Neurospora crassa OR74A: one gene and its partner. The protein of the gene in region 1 interacts with the protein of each later gene in a pairwise test. Links are inferred from orthologs where the notes say so. Each region holds a gene or a part of one and is shown in the gene's direction. Other genes may lie near its edges.

Region 1 (2,317 bases):
GAAGGTGAACTGGCCGCCTTTGAGAAGAACCTCAAGAGCAAACAGAAAGAGCTCGATCATCAGGAGCGGCAGCTGGACGACTACGAGCCCAAGTATGAGGAAAAGCACGGCGAGCTGGAGCGGACGCGGGCAACGGTACAGAAGTTCGAAAAAGCCATCTCAGACGTCGAGGATAAGATCTTTAAAGATTTCTGCAAGAGACTGGGCTACGAGAACGTCCGTGCCTACGAAGCCCAGCAGGGCACTTTGGAACAAGAAGCTGCCCAGAAGCGGCAAGACTTTGATATCCAAAAACAACGCATCCAGAGCAACATCACATGGGAAATGTCACAGCACACGGCGACCAGCGACAGGATAGCCTCACTAGAACGGACCCTACAACGGCATGAACGAGATCTCGATACATATCGACAAGAGAAAGCATCGATCGAAGAGGAACTGGCGGAAGACCGGGAGGCGCTCGAGGAGCTTGAGCAGAGTCTAGAAGAGCTCAAGGTCTCCCACGCAGAAAAGACCAAGAAGGTCCAGGAGGCCAAGCAAGACCTACAGAGGAGGAGCAGAGACATAGAAGTCAGGTTGAAGGAGATCAGCAATCTGGAGGCTACAGTTCAGCAGAGTAGTGCTCAAAAGCTTGCCCTGCTCAGGAGATGCAAGCTTGAGCAGATCCAAATTCCTCTTCAACAAGGCTCTCTTGACGACATTCCAAACGAGGACATGTTACTCCAGAAGGACCAGGATGCCATGGATGTTGATGGCGAGGATGAAGACCAGGAAGCCGAGCTTCTCGAAGCTGCCATGGACGACTACGGTGTCGAAATCAATTACGACAACCTCGATGACGCACTACTTCAAGACCCGAACGACGAAGTCGAAGAGAAGCTGCAAGAAAAGATCTCGGCCCTCACCGCCGAGATCGAGAAGCTCAACCCCAACATGCGCGCCATCGAGCGTCTCGAGTCGGTCAAGTCGCGCCTTGAGTCCACAGAAAAGGACTTTGAGGACTCGCGCGCCGCCCTCAAGGCGGCACGGGATGCCTTCAACCAGGTCAAGGACAAGCGGTTCGAGCTCTTCAACAAGGCCTTTACGCACATTCAGGAGCAGATCACGCACGTGTACAAGGACCTCACACGCTCAGACGCCTATCCGCTCGGTGGGCAGGCGTACCTGGATATCGAGGAGGACACGGACACCCCCTACCTGTCGGGCATCAAGTACCACGCCATGCCGCCGCTCAAGCGGTTCCGCGACATGGAGCACCTGTCGGGCGGTGAGAAAACCATGGCGGCGCTGGCGCTGCTGTTTGCGATCCACAGTTACCAGCCGTCGCCCTTTTTCGTGCTGGACGAGGTGGACGCGGCGCTGGATAATGCCAATGTGGAGAAGATCAAGAAGTACATCCGCGAGCATGCGGGTCCTGGAATGCAATTTATCGTCATCAGTCTCAAGGCTGGGTTGTTTCAGGATAGCGAGAGCTTGGTGGGCGTTTATCGCGATCAGGACGTGAATAGCTCCAAGACTTTGACGTTGGACGTGAGTTTCTCCCCCCCCTTCTTGTTGTTGCTAACCATTTGAGGATCGTATACTAACATGGAATATCACTACAGCTTCGCAAGTACAACTAAGTAGTCATTGGTAGTGGAGGGCTCCGTGTAATGCCATGTTATGTGTGTGAACTGGGTGAAACCACTTCGGGCGGGCGGGCGGGCAGTGTAAACAAATCGATCGGAAGGAGTTCAAAGGAAGGTACCATCAATCAAGTATACTTAAAGGGTAGCTCAACTGCATAATGGTTTCAAGTATAGATGTGCTTTCTCGCGCTTTTAGTCTGTTCCTTTCAATGACCCCCCTTTGCCTCCCATCCTCATTTCGTGGTATCTTTCTGCTTGTGTTCATCAGGTATGTGCTGCATTCGTTCGTCTATGTACAAATTCGTTGTGCTCAAGGGATAGAAGCAAAGCAATGACGGGTCCTTCTGTCTCCAAAGTGGGAGCTTCAAACCTCGAGTTCCACTTCCTTCTCTATATAATTTATGAAGTTTTCCTTTCGTGTGAAGGAAGTAACCATGCCCACTCGGTAGATTTCCCCCCCCCCCCCCCCCCCTACCCCAATTCCCGGATGCTTCAGATCTCTAATGTTTAAAGGAGCAGTAGCTGTTCCCACGTGTTTCTCATATCCCTCTTTGACGCATGCTTGGTTGCTTTTTTTTTGGCTGTGCGTATCATACCCAATCTTATCTGCCGTAAAACCAGTCTGTGGTAGTTTGTGGTTCCGTGCGGTGATTTAAACGTCCAAGGACCGCATGAGGCGACTCTATGGC
Region 2 (4,069 bases), about 2.0 Mb from region 1:
ACGCAGATCTTCCCGCTCAGCTTGCGGTATACCCCCGTTGACGACACCACCCCGGTTCCTGGGGGAGTGAAGGTGTGGTTGAGCTTTCTGTGGAAGTTGCTGGCTAGGCCGACGCACTGTATCAGGATTCGCATTGGCGAGGGGCTGGTTAATACCGTAGGGGCTAGCAATGGTGTTTCACATGGGGAGAGCTCGGGGGTGGATGTCCGCGAAAGGCAAGAGGGAGGGGATGGAGAGTTGACGGCCGAGGAGCAGAGGCTTTTGGATAAGGTGGCGGAGACGTTGGCGAGGTTGGGTAGGGCGAAGAGAGTTGGGTTGACTGTGGAGGACAAGAAGAACTTTGTGAAGGCTTGGGAGAAGAGGAGGAGGTAGATGGTGTGGGATGGAGGAAAAGGGATTGAGGTATATATGAGGGGTTTGGGAGAACGGTTAATGAGGTTAATGAGGATGATTTGGTTTCACTCGTCAGGGATAGAAATCTCTCTGACGTGTAGTTGGACATTGAATCGCGCGTAGGAGCTGTCATCTTTTAACTGCGCACAGGATACTCCAGCATTCATGACTGATATAACACACCAGATCACAGTGACGGTAGAATAGGAGAAGTACTAAGATGCGTTGCCCTGAAGTAGGCAGATGTTGGCGAGATTATATGGTCATCGTTCAAGACTCTCGACCAGTGAGGGAACATCTCAAAACGTCCAAAGCGTTGTTTGGCTTGCCCGCTGAACCAACATGTAAAGAACCACTGCATGCTGGCCCAAGAAAGGAATATGGGCCTACAAAGTGCTTTGTTTTTCGGGGTACGCGATGGATGCATGAGCGAGATAGGCGAGCTTTACCTGAGTCTGGACATCGTGGTGTCCAAAACCATTGTCTTCGAAACATGAGAGTATCGGCTTGTAACATTTCCCGTCCTAATAACCTATGTGAAGCAGGATTAGAACCAATCAGAGTATTGAAACAGAATCGGACACTTGTCGAAGATTCTGTGATAAAAGGTTGTGGCTGTTTAGTGCAAGAAACATTGCAAGGTCGGGACAATGAAGACCGAAAGGAGAGCAGATGTCTTGGCGCTGCAGAGAATGGTCTAGCGCAAGGAACAAGCAGGTACGTACCGTCCCGTGGCCTAAGATGGCACCTGCACACTGTGGGCCCCGCTCGCCCGCTTGGTCGAGGTCGAACGATTGGACATAGCGCTGGGAGAAATGGTTGCCGTGGTGAAGTAAACAAAGCGATGCAGGGCCAGGACCGGGCCCAACTCGCAAGTGGAAGTCCCACTCAACCGCCGCTTGTACGCCAATCGACGCTCTGGAGCCGGCACGCCGTCGCTGAAGGCGCATGACTAGGTACTGAACGACTTTCACAACGGCGCCATCACTATCCTCGACATCTGGGGCGTTGCTGCTCGGCTCGTGTGTGCTGGTGAACAACATCATCCCTCGCATGCGCACGCTCGCCATGGAGAGCTCCGAGAACAGGGTACGTATCACAGCTGTCTAAAACACTTCGTTGTGTCTTGATTGTTCCATCATTTCCCTACTGCGATAAGATGGAGAAGCAGGGCAGCCCGCTTATCGAAAATTGTAGAACGCCCTTAACCCAGCCTCGACCAAGTTGCGACTTCCAACCACCTACGCCGCCACGGCCACCGCGACTGCTCCCACCGGCCTCAAAGAGATCTCCGACTCCCAGAGCAACGCGCGAGCGCAAATGTCGTCCATACCCACGAAGCGCGCCGCAAACGACAGCGGTGGTAAGACATCCCCTCCACCTGCTTCGTCTTGTTTACCAGCTAGATCAAACACCCACCACATACATCATGGCTTTGTCCATGCCATTGTCCATGGCCTCGATGGCTAACACGCCATGTTCTTCAGTCGCCCCGCCTGATGCGAAACGAAAAACCCTCGCCGAGAGGGCCGGCGAGCCTATCCAGCCAAAGTCCCATTTACCAGCGCCAACGCCCACCAGCGCCTTTCTCACAGGCACCATATCCGGCGCATCAATCGTTCAGTTGGCTAATGTAGGTCCAACCTCCGCCCATCAGCACCATACATTCTGAGTCTTGTTTGCCATCTTCAAATTGATTTTACGACAAGCCCGGCCACCTTCCACAACACAAATCCCATACTGTCGCGTGACACACCGTTTCCCGGTGCTTTCGAAGGATGGCCACTGTGGGATCAATTATGCGCGTCGATATGGCTTAGGTCAGTTCTGACTTGATGTCTCTCTAGGCCCGAAATGCGAACAAAACGACGGCAACGGCGCTCCCGCGCGCAAGCTCGGCGACTGGTCATCGGCCAACTTACTCCTCGACAAACCCATCCAGCTTCACAAAGAGTTTGGGTCCTTCAAGCCGACCACCTGTAACAGGATTACGACAACCCAGCTTCAACCAGCCCACAAATCGATCGCGATCCATTTCCAAGCCACGACCAGCAACATCGATGAGCGGCCATGGACCTTCGAGAGACGTTAGCGTAGCGCCTTCACAGCCGGCGCCTACCCAGCCGCCTAATGGTACGGAATTTCTATCTTCTATACCCGTCCCCGGACCCAAAGTCAAGCCTAAGAAGACACGGGGATCTCCTTCACCACGATACTCAACGTCGGGTAAAGAGCAAGAGAAGGAAAGGGCTGTTTCGGGTCTGAGCAGGCGCCTGCAGGACTTGTCGATCTGTGATGAGAAGGAGAACATCCCCAGCGGGAGTCAAGTGACGCCTCGAAAGACTTCGCAGCCCGCCTCCCAAGCGTCTTAGTCGGATGCTAAGGCGGAGCCTGCTAGAAGACCCAGACGAAGAACCGAAGGAGCCGTACCCGCACGACGCAAGTCCTCTCTCCAACAGTCGACAACGGCGTACCCGGAGACCCCTAAAGCAAAGTCAAGATTGGAAGACCCCCGTGCGGCTATGGAGCGTTTCGAGGTCATTCTCAACTCTGCCGTCGTCTCCGCTCACAGAACTGCCTCGACCCGAAAATCCGTTTCACCTGTCAAGCTTTCTTTTCTCACCAAGGATTCTAATAACACCGCATTCACAGGCATTGACGTCGACGAGCGGCTCAACGAGGTTGATGCGGAATGGAAGGTGATGAAGGAGGCTTTCAGCATATCTTTGCAAGACAAGAAGGCCATGGAAACGGCCGTTCAGATGGCAAAGAATCAAGGTACGTGGCAGCAAGTATACAAACACGCCAGGCTGACTGACACCTACTAGTGGACACACTTGAGGCGGAACGACAAAAACTGAACGAGAGAAACGAACTGCTGCAGAAGGAGATGGATGCGTTGCGACAACAGTTCCAACAACTGACCCTCACACTGGAAAGACAGAAGATGGACCATGAATATCAACTTCAGAACAAGTCAAGAGAGCATGAACATGAAGTCCAAGAATTACAGAGAAAGTTGAAACAGGAAAGCGAACGACTGCAACGAATCAACCGCGAGGAAAAGGACGCTTTTGAGAGGCAATGTCGGGCAGATCTGGAGGGTGAAAAGGCAAAGGCGGCAAAGGAGGTCCAAGACTTGCGGCTGAAGCTTGGGGCAGAACAGCAGGATATCAACAAATCGCTCTTGGAGAAAGAACGAGAACTACGGCAACTGCAATCTCAACTGGACGATCTGCGGTCAGAACTGAGCCAAGAGCAAAAAAACAAAAGGGCGTTGCAGGAACAGATCAATGAGATGGCGACAACAAATGGGAAACTGGAAGCCCGGAACCAAGGACTTCGGGCGCAGATTGACTTCCTTGAATCTGATAGCAAGCAACAGTCGGATTCGTTTGCACAGATGGAGGCACGGCTTCGGGAGGCCCTGGAAATCGCGGAGAACGCCAAACAGAAGCTCATCAAGGAGGAGACGGAGAGGCGGATATTGTTCAACAAGTACCAGGAGCTCAAAGGCAATATCCGGGTCATGTGCAGAGTCCGTCCTGCACTCGGCAAATCCGAAGGCAGCGAGGCCAAGATTATGTTCCCCGACGCCAAAACGTCGTCCGCACAGATTGAAGTGACCGGGCTCGAGGAAAAGAGTAGCTTTGGAAACATCAACCGCAAGGTGCTC

What was found.
Region 2: the proteins of NCU01323 (region 1) and NCU04581 interact in binary tests that used the Saccharomyces cerevisiae proteins (3 or more experiments, as listed by UniProt). The link is inferred for Neurospora crassa OR74A from reciprocal best matches to the Saccharomyces cerevisiae genes SMC1 and KAR3.

Annotation. Positions count from the first base shown.
Region 1 is NC_026505.1:3,656,662-3,658,978, reverse strand, and holds the end of NCU01323 (cohesin complex subunit), read left to right. Parts: coding exon 1-1,530; intron 1,531-1,604; coding exon 1,605-1,622; 3' UTR 1,623-1,817; downstream 1,818-2,317. UniProt on the Saccharomyces cerevisiae protein: Involved in chromosome cohesion during cell cycle and in DNA repair. Central component of cohesin complex. The cohesin complex is required for the cohesion of sister chromatids after DNA replication.
Region 2 is NC_026505.1:1,612,523-1,616,591, reverse strand, and holds the start of NCU04581 (kinesin), read left to right. Parts: upstream 1-1,269; 5' UTR 1,270-1,446; coding exon 1,447-1,482; intron 1,483-1,590; coding exon 1,591-1,756; intron 1,757-1,880; coding exon 1,881-2,026; intron 2,027-2,240; coding exon 2,241-2,526; intron 2,527-3,045; coding exon 3,046-3,171; intron 3,172-3,221; coding exon 3,222-4,069. Other genes in the region: NCU04580 (vacuolar protein sorting protein Vps66), read left to right, coding at 1-372. UniProt on the Saccharomyces cerevisiae protein: Minus end-directed microtubule (MT) motor involved in spindle midzone assembly, poleward transport of newly captured kinetochores along the lateral side of MTs, karyogamy (nuclear fusion) during mating, and with an essential function in meiosis I.